Lepisosteus oculatus: one gene and its partners. The protein of the gene in region 1 purifies or fractionates together with the protein of each later gene. This does not show direct contact. Links are inferred from orthologs where the notes say so. Each region holds a gene or a part of one and is shown on either strand. Other genes may lie near its edges. The genes, in order: rc3h1a, serbp1a, cnot1 and cnot9.

Evidence for each region.
Region 2: the proteins of rc3h1a (region 1) and serbp1a purify together in Homo sapiens (affinity purification with mass spectrometry, with the first as the bait; 3 studies listed by BioGRID). This does not show direct contact. The link is inferred for Lepisosteus oculatus from reciprocal best matches to the Homo sapiens genes RC3H1 and SERBP1.
Region 3: the proteins of rc3h1a (region 1) and cnot1 purify together in Homo sapiens (affinity purification with mass spectrometry; 5 studies listed by BioGRID, with this or other methods). This does not show direct contact. The link is inferred for Lepisosteus oculatus from reciprocal best matches to the Homo sapiens genes RC3H1 and CNOT1.
Region 4: the proteins of rc3h1a (region 1) and cnot9 purify together in Homo sapiens (affinity purification with mass spectrometry, with the first as the bait; 4 studies listed by BioGRID). This does not show direct contact. The link is inferred for Lepisosteus oculatus from reciprocal best matches to the Homo sapiens genes RC3H1 and CNOT9.

The regions. Positions count from the first base shown.
Region 1 is NC_090704.1:19,336,873-19,343,893, reverse strand, and holds the start of rc3h1a (roquin-1a), read right to left. Parts: upstream 3,003-7,021; 5' UTR 2,849-3,002; intron 1-2,848. UniProt on the Homo sapiens protein: Post-transcriptional repressor of mRNAs containing a conserved stem loop motif, called constitutive decay element (CDE), which is often located in the 3'-UTR, as in HMGXB3, ICOS, IER3, NFKBID, NFKBIZ, PPP1R10, TNF, TNFRSF4 and in many more mRNAs.
Region 2 is NC_090704.1:13,437,917-13,445,870, reverse strand, and holds the start of serbp1a (SERPINE1 mRNA-binding protein 1), read right to left. Parts: upstream 3,017-7,954; 5' UTR 2,913-3,016; coding exon 2,633-2,912; intron 888-2,632; coding exon 686-887; intron 1-685. UniProt on the Homo sapiens protein: Ribosome-binding protein that promotes ribosome hibernation, a process during which ribosomes are stabilized in an inactive state and preserved from proteasomal degradation.
Region 3 is NC_090715.1:4,431,442-4,439,180, reverse strand, and holds the start of cnot1 (CCR4-NOT transcription complex subunit 1), read right to left. Parts: upstream 3,017-7,739; 5' UTR 2,434-3,016; intron 1,700-2,433; exon of another isoform or gene 1,513-1,699; intron 1-1,512. Other genes in the region: lysosomal protective protein, read left to right, coding at 3,284-3,447, 4,392-4,503, 4,896-5,033, 5,405-5,563, 5,661-5,752, 6,001-6,085, 6,535-6,687, 7,367-7,488.
Region 4 is NC_090707.1:21,038,434-21,045,832, reverse strand, and holds the start of cnot9 (CCR4-NOT transcription complex subunit 9), read right to left. Parts: upstream 3,013-7,399; 5' UTR 2,867-3,012; coding exon 2,849-2,866; intron 52-2,848; coding exon 1-51. Other genes in the region: usp37 (ubiquitin carboxyl-terminal hydrolase 37), read left to right, coding at 5,953-6,114. UniProt on the Homo sapiens protein: Component of the CCR4-NOT complex which is one of the major cellular mRNA deadenylases and is linked to various cellular processes including bulk mRNA degradation, miRNA-mediated repression, translational repression during translational initiation and general transcription regulation.

The DNA of each region.
Region 1 (7,021 bases):
TGTAAAACCACAATCAGGCCAGCAAGAATGGAAATAACTTCATTTACGTCTTATAAACACTATTAAAGACAATGTTTAACTGAAAACTAGGACAAAATCCAAAGGTAAAATAATGAATAATGTTAATGTTAATAATGTTAATGTTGCTTTATGAGCCCTATACAATCTCTTGCATTAGGAATTCGTCTTTTTGCATACCACGGCTTGCTCTCCATGAAACACACAGACAGGGAGAGAAGCTTGGGGTCAGAGCGCAGGGTCAGCCATTTTAAGGGCCTTGCTCGGGGGCCCAACGGAATAGGATTCCTCTGCCAGCTGCCGGATTTGAACCGGCAACCTTCCAGTCACAGGCACAGATCCTTAGCCACAGAGCCCTAATGTGCTAATGATTGTGCAAATATAAAATGTAAATATGATTAAGCAGGTACAGAAGTCCACGATCTAACTGCTAACATTGGCACTGACTGAATGTACTCATTTCTAAACATGGAACCTCAGGTTTAACTAGTTGTTCACACTAAGAAATGTTAGACCCCAAAGTTTACAAAAGAGACATGTTGAGCTACCTGTGCCAGAGCAGTGGACTACATTAGTATTATTTGGCTCTCTGGCACAACAATCTCTACAGGCTTGCGGTCTACTTCCCGAGATTCCAGGGATGGGATTGAAAAGGAAGGGAAGGAAAAGCCTCACCTTTTCAGCTATATTCCTTAACTTTTACATTCTTGTTTTTCTAACTTCAGGTGGAAAGAAAGCCACCTGGGTAACAGGGGTTCCTCAGGACCAGGTCTGAAAACTACATTTGTAGAGAAACCTGGAAAAGGTTAATCCACGCTTACAAACAATGCATTTCTGTGGCAGACTCTGCTATGTCATTGAAGAAAGCAAAAGAAGGCAGTTTGACAGTCATCACAGGCAGTAGTGGCACTACAGGCCCGACCTTGGTGTTGGAGAACAAGCCTAGGCAAACACTTTTACAACTAGATCAGAATGCTTTTCTGACCTATTATAGGGAAATTGAGGGAAAACAAGTACACCAAATGAAAAGTAACTGATACTGCACAATCTTATTCACTCTGTCAAGTGACAACAGTTTAGGACACTCCTAATACTACAAACTGTTCACGAATAAAAGCTCTGCACATGCCTAATTCCGCTTTCACACAAAAAACGTTCTAGGTGAATATGCTTACAGAAATGCACGCATAATTTTTAAAAACACAAAACAGTGGAAAATCAAACCCCACTCAGGAATAACTCTGAGATGGAAGGACTCCTGTCTTTTCGTGCCGTAGACTCAGAGATTTTGCAAAACAAACACTCGATTACGGGGAAAAAACAACGTGTTACTTTTAACTGCTGAAAGCTCCCACTCCACGTATATTCGTCAAACAAAACCGATTTCGAGAGACTTCACATGTCGTACTTATAGGAAGCTTTAGCGAAAGCATAATAAAAACGCCAATGAGCTCTATGTTGGCAAATTTATTGAGTTAAATTCGGAATCTGAAGGGAACACCGTCTGAAAAGCAGTACGAGAGCGATCAAAACCGTGAGTTGACCAGATTCAAATCTGATTTTATATTCACGCACTCCGGATCTAAAAAGCGTTAAGAAACTGTCACCTTTTAAGTTTACTGCTGTTTTACATTAATTATTCTCTACTGAAATCAAACTTCCTTCATCAGAGTTAAAATACATGCTGTGATTTCCTCAGCAACAGCAGTCAATTGCGTAAATTTCGACAGTCACGGCGCAAGAGGTTCCGTGGCCATTTCTCACAAGACGGGACACAGAAGCTGCGACTCCGGACATTGGGGCGTCGACAAGATGTACTTTTTCGGTGAATATCGAGGTCAAAAACACTATTACAAGAGGAATAAATGAAACAGAGCACTAGGCATAGGAAGACAAACTGCAAATTTGAAAACAACACGACGGCGGCAGAGCCTACTCAACCCAGATATTCCTAAAATAAGCCAACAATGTGCATTTAAAAATCCCCAAATTCAAACCAGTAGGGCTCCCTAATTCAAAAGTACGCGAAGACCTGTTCGGTAGGAGTTTTTTTTTTTAAAACAAGACCAAAAACGATTCTACATTATGCCCAACGAGAGTCACATCCACACGGCCAACTCCGAAATTTAACCCGCTAGAAGCCTGAGGCCTACAATATTATAAATACATCAGTAACTTACCTTCCCTCTCCGTATAATCCGACCAGAACATGTGAAAGATATTCCAGCCGCTGCGAGAAACTGATTTATCTTATGTTCGCATTTTTTAAAAAGTCAGTTACGTCCTAACTAGGCCACAACCTTAAGCCTGGGACTCACTTTGATGATAAAGGCTTTTTCTAAAACGGCCACAACATAACATGAAACACACAGAACACTACTCTATCCTGATAAACTGCTTTAACTCCACAAATCATAACCTAAACGGAAAATATTTTAAATTTTTCGACAGTTTCTTGCGTCCTGATGTCCTAGTACGTACGCGACTGTGCTCCTATACAAAAACAACACGGCTCATTGACCCCCGAGAAACTACCAAATAATAATATAGCAGCATTAAACCCTAAAAGAGAAGACGGCAACATTATAAAACGTGACTTGACGTTAATCCATCCAAAATCCGTCACTAAAGCCCTGTTAAGTCTCGGCCTCCAACCCTGAACCAAGCCCGGGCGGCACAACAGCAGGGCGGCCTCCTCTCCTGGACAAAGCGGAGCCGAGACTCTCACAATACCGCCGGGCCAAGGCTGCCATCAGGCCTCCCGAAAGCCTAGGGCTTGTCGAGGTCGCCCGGGCGAGTCACACATCACAACAAGCTTCGACGAACTCACAATCTGCGATTGATCCTGGTCAATCTTCAGCTGTTCTTTGAAAAGTCAGCCTGTATCTCCTCGGTCGCCATTTTCCTGTTGCTGGCAGCCCAAGTTCTGAAGCAAGACTGCAACAAAATTGACACTAACTCTGACGAGGAGGCGCCGAGATGCTACCCGGAATCCCGGTTTGTGCAGAGCGCCCCCTGTCTGTCAGCCGAGCGCTACCATTCTGTGACTGATGAAATTTTCAAGCAACTCTCATTGAACTATCATTTCGTGTTTTAGTATTGTATTGTGATTAAAATCGCCATATAGAGATAGCTCAAGCTGTTATTGCCTTTGAATTCATAACCTGAAGTCTCATTGAGTAACAATACTTATTGTTCTAACTTTTGAAGGAACTATAAGTTTAAAAATAAATCTAACTGAATGGCAAAACACTTTCTTTTAAGCAATGCAAACTCAAAAACGGTGTGAAAATACAATTTGAATGAGATAATTTCTGTGTTTTTAACACATAGCACATAATGTAGTTCAGATGGGTAGCTGCGTCAGCATGTGTAGGCTGCAAAGGAACAAGTAATAGGTTTATTCCATGCTGAAAAAAAGAAGAAAGAGAACACAACGTTTCGGCCGTGGAGCCTTCTTCAGGTGTCACCTGAAGCTTGACACCTGAAGAAGGCTCCACAGCCGAAATGTTGTGTTCTCTTTCTTCTTTTTTCAGCACGGAATAAACCTATTACTTGTTCCATAGCACACAATGTTTTGAATTGGAAAATGGTCTGTTAATAACATTGTTAGACAAGTACATGGAATTGTGTTGTTTACACAGAAATGTTTAAACTCATAGTGGTATTTTCAAACTGGGCCTGCCAATTTATTAAGAACAATCCTGATTTACATCTTGTTCCTTTAAAATTAGTATAGTTTTTTTATTCGTATAAAATTGTTTAAAAGAAATGCCAGAAAAAAAAATATTGTTCCTATATTATCTCAGAGAAACAAAACATACCAACGAGAAACATAACGTTTTGGCTTTGGAGCCACCCGAAGAAGGCTCCACAGCTGAAACGTTGTGTCTTTTCTTCTCTTTTCAGCATGGAATAAACCTTTAATTGTTCCTCTGCAGCCTACACATGCCGACTCAGCTACCTACTTGAACTTTTTATAATAATAATAATAATAATAATAATAGCTTACACTTATATAGCGCTTTTATGGACACTCCACTCAAAGCGCTTTACAGGTAATGGGGACTCTCCTCCACCACCACCAATGTGCAGCATCCACCTGGATGATGCGACGGCAGCCATAGTGCGCCAGAACGCTTTCCACACATCAGCTATCAGTGGGAAGGAGAACAGAGTAATGTAGCCAATTCATAGATGGGGGTTATTAGGAGGCCATGATTGGTAAAGGCCAATGGGAAATTTGGCCAGGATGCCGGGGTTACACCCTACTCTTTTCGAGAAACGCCCTGGGATTTTTAATGACCACAGAGAGTCAGGATCTCGGTTTTACGTCTTTACGCTGCTCCAGGTGAGGTAGGCTATTTCAGCCTACTTCTGTTGCAACCCACCATGACTTCTGCTAAATCTTTTTCTAGATCTCTTCATCATTCCTTCTCCTCCTCCCTCGGCTACTTGTCCTCTTCTCTCACCGAACCAGCATTCCGTCTCTTCGCAGCGATCTGTTCCAAGACCAGGCTTTCTAACCACCTCCTATTCCTTTACAGATGTCATCGACATAATGTCATTCCTAAAGGATTTCATCTGAAATGTAACACTTTTTTTCTTTGATTCTGACACCACCCAGAGTAACACGCAAAGACTTCTAATAGTCTTCTAATTCTACAACAGTTTTTGAGGAAACTTATGCTTTCTATTATTTTCTCCTTCAAACAGATAACCCTTTCTGACACACCCGAAGAAGGCTCCACCCCCAAAACATTGTGTTTCTTTTCTTCTCTTTTCAGCATGGAATAAACCTTTACTTGTTCCGCAGCTGCCTACTTGAACTAAAATGTACCAACTGTAATCAAGGTAACAGGAGATGTTATTCAGAAACCATTGACAAAACACTCAAGACAGGGGTCATACTCAGGAAGTATTTCTACAGTATTGCTGCATATTTAGTCATACATTTGCAGATTATACCAAATTAGGAGGACTACTAAACACTGTACATTTGGGAACCCTAAAACATTTGCCAGAAAGAAGAAGTTGATATTCAGAGTTGAGGATGTGGGAAATGATCTGATAAAAATTTTCCTGCCTGTTTGATTATGTATTTTTCAAAGATTGTCTGCAGGGAGGGGTGCTGTTTCACCCCCATGACCTTCAAAGCTGTCTGGATGAGGTGGGTAATTTGCGATTTAAAATGAACTGATAGATTACCAAACCACACTGAAATACCATATCTGATAATGCACTTGATTACAGCATGGTAAAGGAGTAGCATTACTTCCTGTCGAACCCCAAACACTCTTAGTCTTCGCAGGAAATATAAGCGCTGCTGAACTTTGGAGCAAACACTCTCAACATGAGTAGACCAGCACAGGTTACGGTCTATGTGTACACCTAAGTACTTGTATGAATCAACCTGAGTGATACTTTAAGTTCGTTGTGGATTACTACCTGTGAGTGATCACCAACTGTTCTGGGATCGAAAACTATTTCTTTTGTTTTTTTAGCATTCAAAATTAAGCTATTGTTGTCACACCATTGCACAAATCTTTGGATTTCTGACATGTATACAGGTGAGCTGCTACCTCTATGCATTAAGCCAAGAACAGCTGTATCATCTGAGAATTTGAAAATGAAGTTGTTTTGACTACAATCATTTGTATAAAGCGTGAAAAGAACTAGAGAGCTAACACAGCCCTCAGGGGCACCTGTGCTAATAGATCGTGACTCAGAAAGAGTTTTGTTGACCCTGACATACTGTCTGCGATTTGTTAACGGACATTTGCTTCAACTTACTTATCAATAGATGGAGCTGCAGCATTTTAAATGCAGAGCTGAAGTCCACAAACAGCATCCGAGCATAGGCATTGGGGTCCTCTAGGTGTTTTAGAACAAGATGCATAATTGTTGATTGCATCATTGGTGCCCCGCCGGTGTTTATATGCAAACTGATATTGGTCCAGTACAGTGTTCACTTCTGAGCACAGCATGGATACTATAAACCTCTCAAAGCATTTCATCACAACAGACATCAGTGTTACCGGCCTGTGGTCATTGTTATCTGAGGGACAGGGCTTTTTGGGCATAGGCACGATTATTGCTTTTTTCCACAGCGCTGGAAGAGCAAAGAGAAGAGCAAACAGAAACATTCTGGGGCTGAAGGGGATGTCCTCTCCTGACAGGCTCAAAGGCTCAACAGAAAAGACTATGAGGAGACCTAATACAAGAATTGAGTATATAGCACAATCCTCAAAGGCACTGAGTGTCAAGCATTTGAATTTCTTCAAACCTGGGGTTAGAAGTGGAAGTCAAATGAAAGTTTATAACCAAGAAGGGGAGGCACATCTTTAACCCAAGGGGTGTGACAGTTTGGACCAAGATACCCATCCATGTTGTTGAAGCTGATACCTTGGTGTCTTTCAAGAAATGGTTGGATGAGATCCATGGAGAAATGAGCTACTACCAAATACACAAGGAGAACACACTAGCTCCACAAATTAATTAAGATTTAATTATCGTATTAATACTCTCCTGAAGTAATTTAATTGGTTGGACACATCTTAAATCTGACTTCACCGAGATTAGAACTACACTTCTATCAGAGCAATGGAACGATCATGTATTTTTATAAGGGCAAGCCTGCAGACCTACTGCTCCACCTAGAGGAATTAAATTGTTCACCTAGTTCATACCCAAACCCATTCACAGTATACAATATTATTCATAAATAGCTGTAACAGGAAATTAATACTAATTTCTTTTAACTAACTAAAATAACAAAAGAAACAATATTGCTACCCCCTTTTTATCATTTAAACTTATACTTATATACTTAAACTTATACTTATAACTAAGTATAATAAGATAGTATTATGTGTAGAATATATAGTGCTCTTCATTCCACAGGATCTCAAAGTGCTCCACACACAGGAGGGGACCCACTTCACTCCCCAGACAGACCCACTGGGTGACACAGCTGCCTCACTGCAGAGTAGAGAGAGAGTAG
Region 2 (7,954 bases), about 5.9 Mb from region 1:
TATTTTTACCTGGATTAATGGTAGCTCATATATAAACTGGGATACCCCTGTGAAAAAGAATACAACATTTAAAACAACCTTTTCTACCAAATTTTTGGCATTGGTTTCCAAGTGCTCCCTAAACAGGAGTTTATTTTCATCCTTATTTTCAAACATTTGCAAATGAAGGTCAAGGATTAAAAAAAACTAGACATGACCAAAGTAACTGCAATACAGGGGCAATATGCAGGGGGGGGAACTTTCCTGGAAATTACTGTGTAAAACTTAAAATTTCAAGATTTCAGCTCACCAGTCGTTTTACACAACTGACCACAGAAAATAGGCCCAAATAGGCAGTGTCCTATGCCTTTTGTCTAGTATAAAATTAAAAACTAAAAATTTGTCTTTGGGACAAATTAATTCAGATTATGACGCACCTTCTCTTTGTGACATTTAATATAGAATTCTCAATTTCTTCTAAAAAACAAAGAGCTTTTGAACATTGAGGAACACATTTTTGTGTTGTAACTGATGTGCTTTTTTTTTAATGTAGGGGCTGATGGCTTGGCATATCTACATTTTTTCTGCAAAGTCTGGGAAAACTGAAATCATTTCTCTCCCCCCCAAAAAAACCACTAGCCCCCAACTCAGCCCATAAACATCCCCTTCCACAGCTTCCTAACCCTTATACTGTTCGTAAGCTTACTTCTCCACAGAGAACTCTCCACCTTCGGGCTTTTCTTCAGCAGGCTTGTCAAAGCGGCGGTCGCGTGGGGGCCTCCTGTCTGGCCTCCTGTCGCCGGGCCTGCCCTCTCCCTGACCCCCCTGCTGCTGAGAGCCCTGCTGCTGGGACTGCTGCCCCTGGTGTGGGGACTGCTGGTCAGGCCTACGGCCAACTCTCCTGATACCTGAAATAGAAAGCCAGCTGGTGAGTTAGGCCTGAAAAATCTAATCCTTCATCCGTGAACAGGGAAGCACGATTCAGATTCAACTCGCAACGTGTTATTGGTCCTGTCCAATTTAAAAGAAATAAATTAGATTACTGAACTCAATTACAGCTTTGGAATATAAAAGTATACGTGGATTTCAAACTGGACAACCGCTAAAACGAAGAAATTAACTCAACCTGTTATAATTTTAATTCCTAAAGGACATAATGCTAGTTTGCTGTGAAGTTAAGAAAGATGTTAGAAGACTTAAAATGTTTTTTTTTTATAATGCACCCCCAACTTAATTAGCAGGTGATTTATGTATTTTACACTCCTGAGTATTTTTCGAATGCGTCATAAGCTAATTAGCAGAAACCAGGTTTAACAAGCGAGTTTGTACATACCAAATCAAAAAGCATGTGTTAACTCCTGTATGTAGTATGAACTGAATAATGATAATGCTGACTTACAGCATGAGTGGCGACTGGAGCTGGAAAGGTGTGAAACCACTTCACTAAGTGAAAAAAACCCACAATATTGGGTTCTCAAGAGGTAAGTTACAACTTTTGCTACTAGATGGAGATCTAGTTCAATATACCAAGAGAAATCATTTGGTCAAAAGGTTCCCAATTCTAAGAGCCAGTGCATCTGTACCCCACCCCCCTCCAAAAAACAGCCCTCAGGCAGAACACCTCCATATAGCCTAACCCGACAGCTGCTGGCACATTTGGATGTGCACCTGTTGGGGACGCCTCTTCTGTATGGGACCAAACTGGACTTTTTATCTAAATTAAGCCCTTTTACTGAATTGGTAAACGCCCACTTTCGTTTTAAAACGATTACAAAGGATGCGTCTATTTTTAGAAAAAAAATCAAGCGCCCAGTTCCAGGTTTAGTCGAAATAAAAACGAGTCCATTTTGAATTTTGTTGGGTGCATCCCAAGAAAGGTCCGCAAGCTCGTGTTTGGGGGGGAAAAAAAAACAATTTTCGAGGTACTAGAATAAAGCCCTAGCGCGGTTCCTGTTTGCCCGATACAGGCGTGAAGTCGACATCATGCAAACAAAGCACGTGAGAGCTGTTCCGAGATGTACATGCCGCTGGACTAAAATCTAAAAGGAATGCATGCAAACGAACGAGCCCGTTTGCGTCACATGCAGAGGACAAAACTGATGAAGCCCAACGACGCCGAGGGGGTCAAACGATTGTTTAAAAATTCCCTCGCTAGCTCCCAGCACCACGCCTTCCACGGCGAGCGACGACTCGCGAAGATCGACTTCCGAGTGCTGTGACAGCTCGACAGCCTTCCCCAAACTTCCACCACGAGGTTGGCGACCTGACTGCTGCAGCGCCAGGCCTCTGCGAGAGAGCCTTGCTGTAGCCGGCGTTGGAACTGCTTTAATCAGACCGAAACACTTCAGCAACCTCCCCGCTCTGCAGTATCTTGCAGGCCTGGTACTAGGAAACGCATTTTAAAGAATTAACCGTATCTAGACCCCCTTCAGCACCGGATAAAGCATGCGCAGGTACCACCGGGAGACTACAGGAAGAATGCATTTTCGAGTCCCCAAAGGCGTACATTTTTAGCTTGGCCGAGCGTGTATAAGGCACTGAACTACTGTCTGACTGGCTTAGAATAGGAACCATGTTGTTGACCTCATGGGGGGTTTACGCAGTAACATTAACACAACCCCCTTCCATGTTCTGAAATACGCAGTCCACTGACCAGAGAAAGGGGGAAAAAAGTCACCTTCTTTTTTGAGAGGCACAGGAGCCTGTGTCTCTTCCTTCTTGTCAGGGAGCGGGTTCTTTCTGTCCTTCTGCGACTCTTTTTTCGGCTGCTTAGCGGCTTGAGCAGCAGTCTTGGCGGTAGCAGTGGCGGCCCCGTCCTTCTTCTTGTTCTCGGCCGCTTTTAACACCTCAAAGGGGTCGCTCTCGTCATCAAATAGCTGGTCGAACCGATTAGTTACGACGCAGCCGAAGCCTTCTTGCAGGTGTCCGGGCATGATGGCGCCCCTTCAGCGGGATTCTCCTCCGATTCTACGAGGCTTGAAGCGAACAGCTCGCTTGATGCTGCCACAAGATGGCCGGGAAAGAGACCGTCTTCTCTTCCGGCGCGATAGACATCCGGGACTTCAAGCTCGCTGCCACATGGAGAATGTAGTTTTTAATAGAGGCAGGGCTCTAGAAACATATTGCAGGAGCTGCAGTGAAAGACTACAAGTCCCGGAAAGCATCTGCAGCTAAAGTGCTTGTTTCTGTTCTTGAAAAACGTCTGCTTGGGAACTGTAACTAGTAGCGCTCGGCATGGCATGCTGTTGGTAAACTGAAAGGGAACGTGCACGCTTGTGTCAGTGTGGTTTCATTTAATTTTTCTTGGTCTGCAGATGCTCAGAATTGTCAGTCTAATCACTGAAAGCTTTCATTCACTTTCATTTCATTCACATGATCAATACTAGCATTAGAGGCTGATGCTATGTAATTTGATTTTAATGGTATCATGCATTTCAAACAGTGGAGTACACATTTTGAACAGCGCCTAAGGAGTGTTGCTTTGTAGCAAGTGAAAGCTTTATTGAAAACATGGTGGCGCAGGCCTCTCGTTCACAACCAGTGTGCTTTAACATTTTCTCACCGTAACATTTAATAAAAATATTTTACTTAAGCATTTAAAAGCGTTAGCGTTTCAACGAGAATTGCTCTTTATAACAATTGCCTGAAGCACCATCTAATGCATTTTTAAATAGGGGTCTTGAATGGAATATAGTGGGAGATTATGGTTGTTATTTCCAAGCTTTTTGAAATTGTGAAGTTAGAAAAGGAGTATAACAGTAATGTGCTATGAGGCCATTCTTTGATAGCACAGCCATCCAGCGTGACAATTTTTGCATTTATGTGCCTGGTTTAAATTGAGTCTGCCTGCATTTAGTCAGCTAGTGCATTTACCATTGACTGATTTCTCTAATTTTTCTAATTCCAAAATTTGAAAATAACGCTATTTTGCTTTTTATGTTTTACTCTTTATCTCTAAATGAAATTGTATTTTCAATTATGCTGGCTTTTGCAGTATATGCAGTACCAACAGTATCATAATAAGCACAGACAGCGAGTAGTCCTATGAATTTGCATTACCTCTAGCTATGGTTATATGAACTAATACAGCAGCTGATTTGATTAAATGATCGTTTTTTTTAAGTACAAGAGGATCTGAATAAAACAAAATGGCAAAGAACCATCTTGTAAGGTGGCTGTCTGTGACCTAATTGTTGACATCTGATCTGATCAACCATCCCCCATTCAGATTAGCTTTCCAAAACAGAACAAAGCCTTTAAAAACACCTTAATAAAATGTTGGGTTTTTTTAACCAAAAATGACTTGATGGTCAGTAAATTGACTAGATTTCTTTAACCACCTTTCTTGTGATGTTACCCAAATTAGAAATGATCAAGTATTTGTTCAGAGTGATCTTTAAATAGTGTTTGACACATACTTATACCAGAGGTGATGAATGAATTGGCACCTTGGTGACAAAGTGTGGGACACTTATACTTACACAAAATGTTTTCTCTTCTAATGGATTTCATTTCAGTGTTACTGAGAAACAGTTCACATGCATATTCCAGATCAGGGAGCAATTTCACTTTTCAAAACCATTTTTTCAAGGCTTAAAGGTGATTGACACTTCACTCCCATCATGTTTAAACCTCATTCAATTTTTTTTTATTTTACTTACAGCAAATTCTATTGCTTTTGTATCCTAATAAAAGATTTTCCATATCTCCAAACTGGAAGGTCCAAATTAATAAGTGAAACATCTAAAAAAAACACTACATGCCATTTTGCTGTTTGGACTCCTGTCAGACAAGTTGAACATTTATGAGGCTCCACCTATAACAGCCTTGCTATTGCATAACTGAAAAAGTCAGCTAAGCTTCCAGTATTATCAAAGACAGGGTGTGCCTGTTTAGTCCTAAGCATTAGTGGTCTTTATAAGGCACTATTAAGCACATACTAAGATGAAGAATTCTCTTCATTATGAAACAAAAATCTGTAAGACATTAACTGAAGTTAACTCACCAAAATATAATTCAGGACTGGGATTCACATACTGTAAAGTTGGGTAGATTTCTGCACTATTTATTAATGCAAAATTATCTAGAGCATTCTAAACCAATTACCTTCAATTCATTTTATTATAATGCATAATCTCTGAATTGTTAGAGAGGCAGTTTGAAATGCTATAATACCACTGAGAAAAAAAACTATGACTATGAGCTATACTCTACAGACCCTTTAATGTGTTTGTTTTTTAATCTAAAAACTAAATTCCAAGGAGGCATTGTTTTCATTACAGTTTCAGCACTTGATACTGAACAGCATGGTAATGAAAATATCTGCCATGCAGAGACATAACACTTGCAAATATTTAGTCCCCTAGATTCAGATGGGCTATTTCACTCACATGATATGTGCACAATTGCCAACAATAAAGACAGATGCAAGTTTAAAGCTTTAGGCAGCTATAGCCTGAACAGAAGGTTCATGGGAACTTATGACTATGAGAAGGGCAAACTGGGCAATGGTAGGAAATCCACAAGAAATATCCAGGATATTTGAAATTAAATTATATTTAATTTCCAAGTGTGTTGAAATAATGATCATTCACATGGGGAAAGGCCAGAAGCCAGTGTTAATTTCATTTTTTGCTAATATTAGCATTTTTAGTTTATCTGAAAGTTGATGATATACTTGCCTTTCCAGTCTTGTTCAAAATTGTACTTTTCTGTGTGAATGGATAGTTATATTCAGACATTCTGAAATCTAACAATTCATGTGACAGCTACAAGGCAAGAGAGAAAGTCATTGTATGTTATCCGATAATTACCCTTTATCCTGATAAGCAGTGAAAAATAAAATACTTTTTGAAATGTGTGATTTTTAATAAAATGGTACGTAAAAATGTTAATTCATTGTTTTCCAGACAGGAGTAATCTCTAGTAACATGGAAATCTGCTAATATTTCAGAAATATATTTCAGAAAGTTGCATTGATTTTACATTATTTGTTGTTATTTGCATTAAAATCCACCCAAAAACTCATTAAAAATACATGCAGATGCATTGTTAAAAGTTGTATATAAATTAATATGTAGTGGAAGTTTTGGATTTTTGAGATGACATACTCTTAAAACTACTGGAGGATCATTAATATAGCTAGCAACTTAAACACGATTTTAATGCAAATTAAACCAGTCGGCTCGGTACACTTTTGATAAAACAAATATATTTTGCACGCCTAAAGAAAATAATTATATTATTTTTTCTATATTCTATACCGGAATTCTTGGGTGCAGCTGAAACTTGTCTGGCTGCTGCTGTCGCCTTTGAGGTTCAGATGGTACAGGGCAACGTCATCATAAGCGATTTCGAAGTTACCTGCCAGAGTATTCAGACTCGGAGAAAGATCAGGCAAACATCAGACTGCTGAAAAACGCCGGATACACACACTGGGAATCTATTTGATCCGCGACTTCGTCAAAATAGCGTTTAGAAAACCTGTTTATAGGTACAAAGCTTTCTTTTTCTCGCTGTATTTGCTTCTATTACTATTAGAATAACCGTGATTCAAAAGCAGAAACCATGTAGTTAACGATTCAAACCGGCAAGTTGCATTACGTTTTCTACATCCGATCCAACGACAGGAGTTAAAATCGGAAATATTAGTGGGGCACATCAAGAAGAAAAGAGAAAGATGACGTCTGCCGTGACTGAAGCAATGATTGAATCGTATACGTTAATGGTCATCGTGATGGCAACATTCTTCATTTATTTCTGCGTCATGGTTTGGGCTTTTTGCAATCCAAAACTTAGCAGCGAGGATGAAGACAGTACGACTAAGAATTCAAATGAAACTTATACATGTAAAATGCCCAATAATGTGAAATACACGGAAATTCCAATGGAACAAATTCACGTCATGCATACTCAAGAAATGACACAAGGTGTTTTGCAAGAAAGTGACTGGAATGAAGAGGAATCTAAAGATAAGCATCTTTATAAAACCTGGATATCATCCAACAGCAAATCTTATTATGTGTAGTATTCGTAGAAATTGTTTCAATAATTATTTTAAGTTAAAGCCAGCCTTTTTAAGTTGGATTTAATAACCAATATAATAATAATTCTTCAGTAACTTACGAATAGGTGTGATCATTTTGAGTCGAAAATTGCAGCAAATTTAAATTCCTTCATTGCTACATAAATGTAAATATACATTGGTCTGACCTTATGCTGATATCCGTTTTATAAAAAAAATAAAATAAAAAAGCTTACAGTATTTTTTTAACCCACTATTGAATTGGTCAATATTGGTCGCGTTGTGAGTATGATAGCCTTTAAGAAAAAAAAAATGATTTAAATTTCTGGCTGTGTCTTCTATTTATTATTATTAGTAGTAGTGGAAGTAGTAGTAGTGATAGTCGTAGTAGTAGTATATACTGTACAATTTCTTCTGAGCTGTGGCTATTGACCTTCAAATGTTTAAGTGGCGAAGAATACCTACAGCAACTGTGTAAACCAGGTGCGCCAATATTTTATTTTCTCCCTGTCAAAAATTAGTCGTTTTCCTTCTTAGTTTTTGAGTTTTTTATTTATTAAACGGGGGGTCAATTTTTGTATTCTGGCAGAACATAGGATATTTGCTTATTTATAAGAAAAATGGTTCAGTAATACAGTATCATGTTTATACTATTTCTCCTTTATCAATGTCACTGCAGAGAAGTGAAATAAGAGCCTCTTTAATCTGCACTCTGCAGTGAAATGGAAGAAAACACAATTCATTGTCCTCCGTGGTTTCTAATAACTGTGTCAACTGTCTGCTCAGAATTAATCTTTTCCTTTGTTCTATGTTTCATACTAATCGCAAGATTACTTTAATGACTTCATACTGCGTGGGTAGTATTGAAATCGTTGTACATGCAACTTCCTGGACTATAATTTTCAAACTACAATTTCAAACAATTTTTATCTTCATTTTATTTACAGCTTT
Region 3 (7,739 bases), on another chromosome or scaffold:
CATTAACGAATGTTTTTGTATAAAATACATGAGGTGCTTTTCATGCGTTTTTCTACTGCTTGGTAAAATGCAACGACCGTTAAACATTACCTTACAATAAGTAACCGGGGCCTAACCCCCCAACAAACCATTCCAAGCCGAAAAGGTGTAAACATTTTTCCTCAACATTCCAGTAATGTGGCCAAAAATAATAACAACCGAACCCAATTTAAAAACAGCTGCCGTTACTGTGTTTAAGGGTACGAACTACGAGCACTAAAGGGTTTCGTTTTAGCAAGAGGTCAGCCCCTAACCCCGAAGTTTAACACGGCTAGTTAGGGAGGGTGTTGTCAAAAAAATAGTAACCTAACACGCACCAAGATGAACCTCTCCTAAAAAATACTCTGAAAGAAACTTTAGAACAGTTCCAACCTAAAACGCTTTCTCTTTTCAAGAAAATACCGGCTCCGTGTTTTCTAGCCTCAACCTCAATGACTAATTTCCCCAATTAAGAGCACCGCCACCCCAAAAAAGGGAAACAAGAGATTGACTCTGTTAGAAATAAATGAAGTGGAAAACTCAGCTAACCCCCTCCAGACTACTTACTTGGTAGTGCAAAGTTTAAACTTCAGTTGCTTTTTTTGTGCCTAGCTTTTCAGCTACCTCGAATATGTACCACACTTGCTCCTACAAGTAGCTACTCGGCGTTAAAGTACTCCTATTTCCCTTGCACATACTGTACTCGTGGATGTATATTAACAGGAAAATGAGGACTGCTTTCTTTCCAACCAGTTAGGGAGACATCTAAAGGAACTTTTAAACCGTGAATAGCTCACACATTAAAAAGCCGTTTCGTAAAAAGGCCAACTTAGTTCTATCTGCAAACTGAACTTCAAGCACTGAGCTACAACCAATAACGCTAAAATACATCTGCTTCTAAAATCAGTCGCCAATGTTTCAAAACATAACGATTTTTTTAATGTTCCAAGCTGTTTAAACAGCTCTAAAATGTGAAAGAATATTCCGAACCGTCAGTAATATGATCTTGTATTATGATAGCTAACCAAGGGGTTTATTTCTCACAAAAGGACCGACCTAAGCTGATTTACAAAATTCGAAACTTCGTCTTTAAAAAAGGCGACATTGGTGAAGTCAAAGATGTAAATAGCGAAAATAACACTATAAAGGACCCCACCTCTTCTTAAAGCCTTTGTTTCTCTAAGATTTTAGCAGACGGATGGTGAAATGAGACAGTTCACTCAGCCCGTTCGTTTTGCACAAAATATATCGCACTACAAGTGCCGCTCGGGTATTCAACCCAAGATCGTTTCAAATGTACAAAACGACAAAATATCTAAATATATTAATTCTGTGCGAGAAAATGATAACTTTGGTGTCGGTTTAAAAACCTTGATGATAACACTGGAAGTTTGACAAACCTACGTTCCGCTCTAACACGTTTCACTGAAAAAAAAAACAAATACAAAAATGTATATTATCCCCCTCCCCACCCCGGTACGGTATCATATTTACCTCACTTATTTTCCTAAGGTCATTTCTTTATTTTTGCTCTCCCCGAGTCGTTACAAAAATAATAACATAACGTTTGCCCCCTCTCGAGTTCGGTTTGGTTTTCAATACAAAATGGCGACCAACATCTCGCGCGCGCTCACAGCGCCATCTTCTTGAAATCGAGCTCGCGACACTGCAACATCATCCCCCCTCCCCCCTCCCCACACACACCAACTCCGGAAACAAAAAAAACTACACAAATGAAGACAAATAATTAAAACTGCGCCGAAATACAGCACGTTAAAAATCAATATTCATGCAAACAACTCGCCAGATTATAGGTTTCCCATAAACATTTTTTATTCTCTCCCCAAAAATGTTTTTTAAGACCAGACCACCCCCCCCTCCCCACTCCTTAATTCGCTCCGGCTAGAAAGAGGCTGCGGCGCCTCAGCCGGTCCCCCCCCCCCCCAAGACACGGGATAATGGTACGGTCGACATCAGGTCATCTAGCAACATCACGGCGGATTTTAATTTTCGGCACTTTTATTCGGGTGTGAGCGGAACGCGGCACGCGCCGCCGGTGTGGGTTTTTGAAAATCGCGAGCGTCTCTCCGCGGCACCAGGCCTCGCGGGGAGGTCACGTGCCGAGGGTGGAAAAAAAGTGAATCCTGTTCGTTTATGGTCGTTTTCTCTCGAGTTAGTGAGTGATCCGAGCCATTGAACCAAAGAGCAAAGGCATCACGATGTGACGTTTTATCGCGGTCTGTGCCTCACCCCTTGCCTGAGAACTGCTAGCGTGTGTGCCCGGGCTGACAAGGGCGATGGTGACCATTCCCATGCATTCCTATCAAGTTAAAAGGTTCATTTACGAAGACAAAAAAGCATTTAACGTTTTTTTTAACGCGTTCTGATCGAGTGTTAGACACGACTGGGACTCACAGCTGCATTACCTTTCCCCAGTCCGTTAGCCTCGTTACACTCAGGGGTCCTCTATCTGCTGGTGGGTTTGGGACAGTGGATCCCGAAGAGTCGTCGCTCAGGTCATTGATCTTATCTTCTCCACGAACCTGTTATCTGATAACCCACGCGGGGCTTAATGGAAGGGTGCGAAGTGCACTTAATAATTAAATCAGAGATTCCCTGTTCCCTAATCAAAGTGATGCCTATGATTGTGGAAGAGAGATGGGGCAGGGTTCCCTATTGGTGTATGAGCTCGCAAAGCACAAAGAGGCTTTCACTGATTGAAAAACTGCAATTTGCGCCTTGTGTGGCACAAAACGTGTGCCTTGTAAGGAAGTCTAGAAACCAAACTTAATACAAGTTTATCTGTTTCTATACCGAAGTTGTCAAACGGAACAATGACGTGTAATCCAATAAAAAATCGGACGGTGTTCCAACCTCTTTCCCTGGCTTTGATGTTTTTTAGCAACACAAACGCTCAGAAGTTTGACAAACCCACGAAACGTCTTTGCTGCAGCAAAATGTACGAGTGTGTGTTGAAGATCAAACCATACCCCGTTTTTTTGTGAAATTACTTGGTCACTTTCGCTTCCGGTATAAGGAGCCGTAATATGTCGCGTAGTTTTTGCGTCATCCGAGTCACGTGATTCAATACTCGTGACAGATCTGGGGGGGGGGTTGTCATGTGACCCTTCAGCTCCAGGACTACAGCCGGTAGTTTCTGCCAACCAATTTGATTAGTATTGAACTGCATCCAAAGAAAGACTTGATTCTCATTCCCCCCAAACCACTCCAGCTCTCTCTCTCTGTGTGTGAGTGCAATATAGACATGCTCTTCCGCAGCTTGGTCGTTTTAACAGCCTTGTGCTGCTCCGCTCAGTCCGTCTATGATCCAGATGAAGTGACCGATCTCCCCGGACAGTCCTTCACCCCAAACTTCAGGCAGTGGTCAGGGTACCTGAAAGCCAGCCCCGGGCAGTACCTGCACTACTGGTAAGACAGCCGCGGCACAGCAGAAGATGCAATATTTCGTTTTTCAACGTACGGTGAACACTACTCTAACTTCCTCGTCAGTTCACTTGTTGGTGAGAAAAGTTCTCTTGAACCGGACGAGAGCGGAAAAGGTAACGATGCTCAGTTTCGGAAAGGATTTATAACACGAATCTCTCCAACAAGGGCTCCTTTCTGGTTATATCCCCTTGTCCTCTGAGAAATCCCCAATTTCCAAATACCTGGACCGATTTGTGATTTTAATTGCAGGTGATTTGTTAAAACAGGTAATTTAGAAATCGTTTGAAATAAAATGATCCCTTTAGGACTTAAATTTAGCTCATTACGTGCTTAGGCGAGCAGTGACTTATAGGTGTTCACTATCTTCAGAAACGAGTGCAGTTGATCTCTAACAAATCAAGTTAGAGAAATATCATTTACGATTGTTCATAGATTTTATCCTGTTAAATTGACACTTTCTAGATTTGAACACGAGCGAGATGACTTATGTGCATTTTGTAATAATGAGAAGGAATCTTTGTTACATTTGTTAATATGCATATGCACAAAATTGTTTTGGATAGATTTGCAAAATGTTATTGCTAAACATTTAAAGGTAAATGTTAAATTGAGAGATTTTGATATTATTTTGTATTTTGTTTGACCTGATTTGGATGAAGGATATGTTATTTGTATTTCTGATGCTTAAATAAAAACAACGTGAGTGAACGTGGTGTGTGCACATGTACTGGGGCTGTCTGGGACAACAGGTGAAGACCCCTTTGTTTCTCGCTATATTTTTAGCTTTGCAAATTGAAAATGTACCCCAATATGTGAATATTTTTATTGCTGAGTGGTAGTAGTATAGTTCTGAAAATAACACTCAGATAAAAAATGAAGAGGGAGGTGTTGATTATAGCTGTTTTCTCCCTGTTTTGGCCTTGCAGGTTTGTGACATCCCAGGGAGACCCAGCTAAAGACCCTCTTGTCCTGTGGTTGAATGGTGGTCCAGGCTGCAGTTCCCTGGACGGGTTTCTCTCAGAGAATGGGCCTTTCCACGTGAGCAATTTTTTTTTTACCTCAGTGTTGAGCTCTCCCTCTGAGACTTGCTCAAAACTGCCCGCAAAACTCATGGTCGTCTTCTGCACTTGATCATTATCGCAGGGGACGCTTTTTTTTCCTTAGAGTTCTGTGGTCGTTCCAGATTTCATTTAGCTTGGAGACAAATTCACCTTCCAGGTTTTTGTTCCAGGCCTTCATAGATCCAACCCGAAAACGAAAAGAAGTCACAAAAGCAAGGAGACAATGAGAAGTGTAGAAATTGGCCGAACAGCCAATATTGCTAGCAACAGTTGTCTGGTGTAAATTCATACCTGTGCAGCACATGGTCTAAAAATCAGTTCCTCTTCTACATTACCATTTGAGCTTCATTTACCCATCCTTTCTGGCAGGTGAATGATGACGGAGCCACGCTGTACCTAAACGATTACAGCTGGAATAAAGCTGCCAATGTCTTGTATCTGGAGTCTCCAGCTGGTGTGGGCTACTCCTATTCAGACGATAAGGACTACAGAACCAACGACGATGAGGTCAGTGCAGCCCGAGTTTAAGTAAATAAAAAGAACCTGATGCCAAAACGCAACAGTACCCTCTCGGTGTCCATGATGTAAAAGTCAAAATGCTGATTATTGTGGCTCTTGGACAGGGGTTAGCTCCTGGGTCCTAGGTTCGATGCAGGACAGGGGAATTCTGGGGACTTCTGGACATGTTCTCTCTGTGCTCGTGTGGATTTTCGCTGGGCGCTCCAGTTTCCTCTCACCTTTCAAAAACTTGCTGGCTGGGGTAGCTGGTTATTGTGTCTGAGTACACATTTATATATATACTGTATTCCTGCTGTGCACCCTGTGCTTCCAGGATGGAGTCTGTTGCTCACAGCTGCCTGCTTCGTGTCTTCTGACAGGTGGCTGACAACAACTTCAAAGCCCTGCAGAGTTTCTTTACTAAATTTCCCAATTTCACCAAGAACGATTTCTACGTATTTGGCGAGAGCTACGGAGGGATATACGCACCCACCCTGAGCCTCAGGATTGCCAACAGCTCTGCCAAGATCAATTTGAAGGTATTGCCAAACGATGTGACCTCTGGGGGAGGGTGCTCTCCTAACAAGTTTCTAGCTAGTTCCTTATTTCCTATTCCTGCTCTTTTCCTCATTCTAGGGATTTGCAGTTGGCAATGGAATCAGCAGCTTTGACCTCAACTACCAGTCTCTTATCTACTTTGCGTACTACCATGGACTGTTTGGAGAAAAGTAAGCATCAGTTTTCTCATCATTGAGCTCAGGAAGTGAGGTCATCGCAGCTGTGCATTGTGGGTGGAGCCTTTCAATTTCACATGCCACTGCAATCAACAAAGAGATCCTCTTCGTCACTGGTACTAGCCACTGCATAACAAATAAAAAATCTCACACAACCAGAATGCAGGCATAGCAAAGGAGAGGACATCAACATCTAGATTAATGTTCTGTGTAAAGTGTGTATGTTTGCTTTCTTTCTGTAGACTGTGGGCTGACTTGAACAGGAACTGCTGCAAAGATGGGACATGTAACTTCTACAACAGCAGTGACACGGGCTGCATTCAGGCGGTATTGTCTCCCAGTTTCTTCCATAGTCCGTGAATAATAATACAGCATTGGAAGCATGAAGCACACCTGAAGAGAAAAGTGTAATTTTCCAACATCTGCCCCATTTAAAACAAAGGTCTGGATTCTTGATGCGCAGAAAACGCATTCTTAATGAGCTGGTGTTATTTTAGCTTTAAGGTTTCTGCTGAAAGGAAAGGCCGCATCACAACTCTTGGGGTCTTAGGTTCATTTCTGGTTTGGGGTACCTTCAGTGTGGAGCATAAATGGTGACCCCCCCCCGGTGTGTGAATGCCCTGCAATGGACTGGTGTCCTGACCGCAGGGTATCCCACCTTGCCCCCATGGTCTGCCAGCTTAGGTTCCAGCTCAGCGTGACCACTGTATGTTGCGGACCAAGAGGTTGGAAGCGGATGGATGAAAGTTGAACAGCTTCTTCTGTCTTCTTGGCAGGTGGGCCGTGCATTTAATATTATCTATGATTCTGGGCTGAACGATTATGCTCTGTATCTGGACTGCGCTGGCGGTGTGGGGACAGCTGCACGTTATCACAGGGACATGCAGAACCTCTTTCGGAACTACAGGCCGCACTGGGATACCAGTTTGGTAAGGAACTAACTTTCACATATTTGGGGGAACAGCGCGTCTATATGACCTCTGTTTAGCTTCCGAGTTCTTCAAGCAGAAAGGTTATATGAGAAGAAGAACATTACAGCTACCTATGAGTACAGTTAAAGCATGTTATAGGTCTGCTGTGTCAAAAAGTCCTCAAGTGTAGGTTTTTATACATTAGGAGAGAAAAGATCAAATATAATAGTTGCACCAGGTTCCTAGTCCTGGTCCAGGAGACCCACTTACCTGCTGGGATTTGTGCCAGTCAAGCTCTCAGCTATGGAATTGAACCCTTAACTGACTTTAATAATACGATTAATTCCAACCGTTTGACTGTTTTCAGCTCTTGCAGAGGTTGGAGGTAACCTTTCAACAACTGCATTTCACACTATAAGCAACACAAAATTCCACAACTTTTAAATAGGAAAAAAAAAAGCTTGGCAGTGTTCCAACCCAGCAAATTATTCATCCAATTAAGGCTTCGGTTTAGCAATAAAGCTCAAGCTTAATTAAACTAAAGTTCAAGCTAATTAAGATGGAATGCAAAAGCAGCAGGCGGGACTGGGAATTCCTGGGGTTAATTAATAGAGGATTAGCTGTCCAGTCTCCTCTCCGTTATTGGCAGTGTCTTTCAAGGGCATTGGCTCTTGTGAAGGAGTCTGTATTCTTGCAGCTGGCTGTGAGAGAGGCTCCTCCCTGCATCAACAGTACCGCCCAGACCAGCTGGCTGAACCGGGGAGACGTGCGCAAGGCCTTGCACATCCCCGACACCCTGCCTCCCTGGGACATCTGCAGGTAAGCAGGGCTCTGCGTTTGCCCCCTCTGTAGAACCTGCCGTTATCTGTTACACCTCTGCAATCTGTAATCGCCAGTTGCCTGCGTCTCGGCTCAAACCTGTAACCAGACCTCAACCAAACGTGTATTGGCTCATTCCGTTGTAAAACATCGACCTCTTGCGTTATCATGATGATGCAATTAGGGCAAGGTCATATCTGTTTAAGCACAGAACGTAAAAGGGCACACACTGCACGGGAATATTTCAAACA
Region 4 (7,399 bases), on another chromosome or scaffold:
CCATTGATAGATCTTCTCCCTATCCACTTGCGCCAGCGCTGTGGTTACAGCCTGCAAGGAAAGAATGCAGACGGTCTGAGAGAATGGAGCCTACAAACGGATTTTGATATTTGGATTTTTGCTACTGTAATAATGAAAACCATTTAAAACACTTTAGGTACTGTAGACTGCCATTTGTAAAGCTTTCAAATGGTATCTCCTTTCCAACACAGTGCAACAACAATACATGAAAAATAATCTCACCATAAAAAGTTAAAACAGTAAGATGACAGCACTGTGATAACAAATTATATTAACCTGCTATAGAACAGCTACATCTAACTGTATCATCTATATCTATGTAAGCTAAGACAGATATAGTAGATACAGTTAGATTTTAATTACAGCTAACATAGTCCTGTACTACTCTGACTTGTGTTTGGTTTTGTAATTGAAACATGTTTAGGGTTACCATATTGTTTTTTCCCCCAGACATGTCCTCCTCTGTAGGCCTTAGATCTCTGTCTGGGAGGAATTTTCAAATCTTAATATCTTCCTCTTAATATCTTTGTCTCCAAAGGTTTTGAATGTGAAATGGAGTGCTGATTATTCGTGAGCAAGACTATGTATTGGTTATAGTTGGAGTGTCTAGTTTTCTGCCCCATTCAATTTTCATTCCAAAGAGAGAGGATTTTTCCCAAAACCTCCACACTGGCTCAGCCACAGCACTAATTTCAGTATCTTATCTGATTCTGGACTGCGCACAGTAGCTTTTGCTCAAGAGAGCTTTATTTGATTTTTTTACTTTGCTATCCCTAAACACAATGCCAAACCAAAAATACTCATTCACTTCAGAAGTAAAGACAATATTGCTATGTTTTCCAAGCAGGATAGAAGAATGAGAAGCTGAGTGCTTGGTATGTAGACCTGGTACTTCTGTGGTAGACAAAGGTGCAAATGATTTACAAGTTTGTGTGGACTCACACAAGCATGAGAAAGCAGTTGGAGAGGAGAGCTCATCATCAAAAATGGCAGATTATGTTTTATAACCAGACAGCAAATCAGGTAATCCAGCAAATCCAGGGTTTATAGATTTTGAATGTCCTAAGCTATTTTCTCATGGCACGACATAACTGTCATTTTTTCCAGACATTACAAGACTGATACAGTTTCCAGCTTTTAACTCCTCATTTTTGTTATAGGACAAACCACCTACTCTGATCAAGACATTCTGAGTATGAATTAAGTGAGTGTTACCTCTGAGCATTCATGAGTTTATTCCAAACATATATCCAAGAAACTGAAAGGGAAAACAGCTCTGTCTTGGAAGTGATAACAAGCTTGATTCTAATATTCCCAAGTAAGGGACTACTGGCAGAAAATGCACATGGAAGGATCTGTTGAAGAGTGTGACACATTATGTGATAAAACAGATAATCTGTATAGTAAATCCTCAGAATATTTCAAGACGTAGAAGAGGTCCCTTGAAGACTTCTCTTGTTTTAAACAAATTGTCCTGAGTGAAACACTGAATTGGGCTGATGTGGAACCTTGCGTCAAAGATCTGATTGATAAGGAGGCAGTAACTGATGCTGTGAAGTATTTTGATTAGGTCAATAATCTAAAGAAATTGATAGGAGGTTGAGATAATAATGAAGAATTTAATCACACCAGATGTGGATCAAATACTTTGAAAAGTAAAAAAAAAACACCAAGTGGAACTCAGTGCTATTAAAGCCGCATACTTCTTCTTTGCTGTTCCTACTCAAGATAGGAATGTAAAGTGAGGTTTTCCACACATGTAAAGCCAGTGGACAAGGTAAAACAACTTGAAAAGGATATTACTTGTTCCATACAATTTCAGCCAAACCTCTAGCAAAGACTTCCACAACGTCTTCTCTCCTGCTGAGAAACCTGCTTTCTACATAGACATTTGCTTGGGCACATCAGGAGGAAGACTACTTAAGGACTGGTGAAGGAAAAGGACTACATATAAAGAGATACAGTAAAATTTGAATAAAGTATCTCTGAGGCCATAACGGTTTTTATAATTTTGCAGATCAATATAGACTTATAGACGAAACGTAGTACACAGAATATACAACCGTAATACAACTAATAAAGGTCTAATAGATAATGGTACAAATAGCCCTCTCGAAGGAGTGTACCCCTTTTTTAAATGTTCAAATATGGTAACCCTTATCAAGCTCTCAATGTCTGATTATCAACAGAATTATGAAAAAGCACTAGGAAAACAATTTAAAAAGGTATTTGTTTACACCCTTAATGTAGTGTCGGGATTCTAAAAATGCAGAGCAAAAAACATAAAATGACAACATCCATACTAAACACTAGTTCCACCAACCAGTCCCTTCTCAATACAATACAACATTTCAAGTTGACCTGCTGCTAAAACTTCACTTCATCAGTTTTTAATCAGTCTTTGTAGTCCACTGGCATTAAGTTGAATTATCTGGTGTATATATATAAAATACAAGGTGTCGGTTTACTCGCACTTAAACTGCATCTAGAAAACAACCTACAAGTTTTGTAACTACATCGTCCACCAGTATGAAATTCCACCATGCCGTTGTTTTTCTCACAGACCTGAACTGCCTCCTGTGTATGATGCTTCCGTAGTTTTTAACCCCTGTACTGAATACCCTTTTTTGCATTAGAAAGAGAATATTTTAAACCCACTCTCTAAAATAAACAGTACAAATAAATATTTAACAAACTTTATCGGATCGTGAAATCACTTAACAGCCAATCGAGTCTTTAAGGAGTCCCTACACTTGCGTCAAAATTTTAAATTTCACCGAGGCCTAGAGCATCTTCAGGAATAAAGTACTTTTAAATAAAATCTTACCGCCCCTGTAGCCAACATTCTCTGAAGCGCCTGGATATGATCGCCTGAATGTTGCGGAGTCCCTATTTTAATTCCGTTGGATTTCTTTACTTTCTTTTAATATTAATATATGCTCTGTTTCCAAAAACAGAGAGAAAAATCCAGCAAGCGCCGGAATTGTAACCTCTGACCTTTCACCTCGCGCGCACATTTCCGAAAAAAAAAAAACAAACTACAATAATTGATAAGGTTGCAGTTATTGTTTTACACCGATCTATACAAATGCTACATTCGTATAGTTTTAGGATTTTAACAAAATATTAAATAAAATCGAAAACAAATTAAAGAGATATAATTTGATTCTGCGTGACCTCTCAACTTTGCGTTGCCAATATTTGGGTTACATAACTGAATAGAAATATAAATGTATTGCACAAGTCCCTGACATATATTTCACAAGGGCTGGCCAATATTTTATTTAATTATTTTTTCCTGATATAAAAAAATCTAGACATGTCTTACATGCCGTAAGATTATTTAATTATAAGAGCTTCTTTTGACAAATGGTTTGATGAGATTCTTGGATCGATTTGCTATTAACTACCAAACAATGTAGAGGAGCTGAATGGCTTCCACTCCTTCAAAAGCTTAAGTTTTTAATCAAACCTATAGAGCATATTAAGTTATGTATTTCAGTAGGCTTTATTCCTACACTAAAAATTACGTGTGTTTTCACCCGCTCTACACTGTTAATTTTTTTGTATTAAAAATAAGAAAAAAAATGAAAGTATGTTAGCAGTCTTTTACAAATAGCAATCTTTCAGCCCCGGACCCACTGTCTAGACTCCAAAGTAAACTAGTTTATTGTAATGTATTTATTGTCCCACAGTGCTTTTTAAAATATTAGGGGTCCTCATTGAGACATACTTCTTTAAAGAGAATTCCCCAGCCAGAAGCAAGAAAACTTTTGAAAACGTTTAGTTTTTCTCTTGAATTACACCACAATATTAAGGGATTATGGGAGTTCCAAAATTATCTATGTGCGCTCAAGTCTATGCTCCATTAAAGGAGAAAAAAAAGGTTTCCACATTTTATACTTAAAGCAGGTAAGAATATTTATAGGTTTAAAAGTAACCAACCCCTTGACCCCTGTAAACTACAGTACAGGAAGAAAACCAAGGCACTGCGCAGCTTCTCGCCATGCCACTCTGTCGCGCGATACCACAGCGCATGTTCTCGCGCCGGGTTTCCGTTGTTGATTTTCACGTTCCCGCCATCATACACACCGGTGGGGCTGCGTTTTGGACCGACTGTCAACGATAACAACATAGTTGCTACCGGAGGCCGGCCACACGGCTACCAGCCCGTAGGAGACGAGAGGGGAGTATACGCAAAATATAGGAAAGCGTGGAAACCGAACGCTTTCTTTTGCACGTAAGACATTATTCGTTGTAATTGCCGGAGTCCTGCGTTCCTCCTCTTCTTGTTATTCAAATTACTGACAGTGGCTGTCATTATCCCGGCCTTTAATGTGATTGCCGGTTTTCGTTATCCCTGCCCACGACGACGTTCCAGAAAACGGAATCTCCCGAAACCTGGGGGTAGTTCCGTTCTAAATAAATGTTGCCGGAGAAAGTGGCGATGTATGGGTCTGAGAAGATGGGGACTGTCGTGCACGTCCAGGGCTGTTTGTGTGTTCTTGTTAAAATGCATCGCCTCTTTGAAACCAGCTTTTCACTCTCGTGTCTATTTTTTTCGTCGCCGTTGAATTTCGGGCTGTTTGCTCTCAGTCTTGTCCCTGTGATTTCCCTTCACGAACTTCAAGAAAAGTGCCATTTCTCGGACACACGCAAAAAAGTAACACTTGGAAATCTTCGCAGTTCGAAATACGGCGAAGCAGCACGATTTGCGGGCGCATCTGTTTTAATTCAGTATTTGTGATTCCTGACCTGTATTGTGGAATAAATTGTACTTCGCTATTGGCCTCTGTGCACGTGTGTCTTTGCAGTCTGTTGTGGGCAGCTCCCCGTGATTTTCTCAGACACTTAACAGCAGAGGACAGTAGTTTGGTGACTGTATGTGAAAGCTGTTTGATTTCTGCAATAGCACGGGCCCCATCTATGGTATCCTCAATCGTTTAAAGATCTGGTGTAGTAAGATACGCTTAGCATATTTTACTCATTGCATTCTTTTGTGCGTTAGATTTGGTTTTGCTAGTCGCAATGGTCTGGTGCTTAGATTCCATGCTGTATCGTTTAAAAGCGATGGTTCTGAATGAGTGTGAAAATACTGTAAGCGCGTCTCACACAACGATCAGTGGACTTCGGCTTCCCCGTGTTAAGTCAAAAGTGTTTCAATGCACGGCTTTGAATCCGCCTCCCCTGAAAGGTGCTCCGTATCTGTTAAATAATGTTCCACAGTTTGCCAAAATTAATGTTCCTGCATGTTTGTAATTACTACGTCTATCCGCAGTGCTTGCAATTTTGGTGGGATGTGTCATGCTCTCCTGCCTCCCAAGACATGAAGTGTTTAGACATCAGCACATGTTCTGATAATAGTTATAGAGCAGGGGTTTTGAAAATATTTTAAGCCATCATTGATCAAAACGAAAGCAAAAAAGGCTGGGAATTTATCTGTAGAACTTTCATGGGCTGCAGCTGCATCTTTGGATGTCACATTGGTGAAGTCCTTCTCCCATGGCAATTAGATTCACCCCAGAACGTTATTATTTTGATTTGTCACTAGTCTGGTGTGTTGCTTCATTCTTTGTATACACCACCTGTCATTTTGATTATAACCCCAAGAAATGTTTAGCTATTGGTGTTTTAATACTGAACACGGACAAGGATGTTGTGAACCAGCTGTTTTTAGGCAATTATGTAATGTTTGTGCTTCCCATGAAAAATGATGTATAGGTCCATAATGAATTTAAGAGTATAAAAAATATAGTACTAGTATGAATAAGCACAAGAAAAGTTTCTATCCTCAAAAGTATTACAAGTAACCTTAAATGAGCTGTCTAACTGGAAACCTTCTGTTAAATGTTCAGGTTTTACATAGGGCTGTCCATTGGCCCAGGTGTCACTTGAAGATCCAGTGACCCAGTGTCTGTTGTGCTTCAAGCCATGGCAGCCACTGTGCCAAAACTGTTAGGCAGCGTCCGGATCAACAGCCTGCAACTGGGTACCACCAAGTGGAAGGAAGGAAGCTTTGAGATCCACGAGAAGGACAACAAAGTCAACCTCTTTGTGAGGTTCAACAGTGGAGGAGTCCCCAAAATATTTCAGGTACAGTTTACTTGTCTTTCAGATCGAAAGAGCTTCATGTGTTTCACCCTACCTCTGTTAGGAATGAGGTTGAAGAAAACAGATGGTAAATTTGTACTATTTTCCTAAATTGTGCTGTTTTGCCTGTTCTTTAAGGCATGTTAGCATATGGTGCACTTACTAAACGGTACATATATATGGTTGTACAGGATCTTCCAGATTTATCCAAACGCTTGTTGAAATAGGAACAAAATACATCATTTAATGGAAAGCTGTAATACATACTTTAATCTTATTAGCATTGCACAAAGCAAAGTCATATTTGTCATAATCAAGTTCCGAAAGTACAAGGATCACTTTTATTCACATTCCCGTAGTGAGTATTTTTTTAATCCTCCTCTGGCATAGATTACACTGGCACCTCCTGCAGTGTGCTGTATAGTTCTGGTGCTTCTTATAGAAGATTTCTGAGCACTTCTCCAGGCAGAAGTATTCCGGGTCCTTAAGATGATTGTTTTTTTTTTGTGAACTGCCTTCTATAGTTCAAACCACAAATGTTAGATTGGTTTGGTGACTGGTAATATAGATTGCCAGTCAAGAACATTTACTTTGTGTTCTGTTAACCATTCGTTTGCTGGTTTGGATGTATACTGTTCTCTCAGTGTGAGCTTCCCCTTTTTTATACCAAACAGAATGCTAATGAGCATGCACAAGTCTTAATTTTTATTTAATTTTTAACTTTCATTACATCAGACAACATTGAATGTCAGTTTTCTATACTTTGTATCCCGAAGATGCCAGTTTGGGTTGGAGATCTCCAGTTGTCGTCTTTAGATTTCTGAGCCTCCCGAAACACGTTTCAGTATGTCATGATGGCAAGATATGCTTGTGTCCTCCTCCTAACGGAGTTACCACTGTACCAGTAGCCTTGATGTTCTTAATAATGGGCACAACATTGAAAAGTGATAGATTCAGCTGTATGTTGCTTCTTTCATTGCCATCCCCTGTTTTTAGGAGGTCAATGGATAGTCTTCAGAGGGCTCCAGTGAGAGGTGTGTTACATCCTTTATATTTCAAGGACATGGGGAACCAACAGAGGTCACTGTATAGTTCTGGTGGCTTTTCGTTTCTAAAAAACACTGGTTTTGTAGATTTTCTGTGTTCTGATTTAATTTAAAACAGTTGTGAATAAACATGACACTCGTATTTTCTAGAATTCAGTTATTTATGATCAATATGACTTTGCTCACTGCAGTGCAGTTGCAGGTTCTGTATAACATGTTTAGAACTGTTGTAAGCAAACACA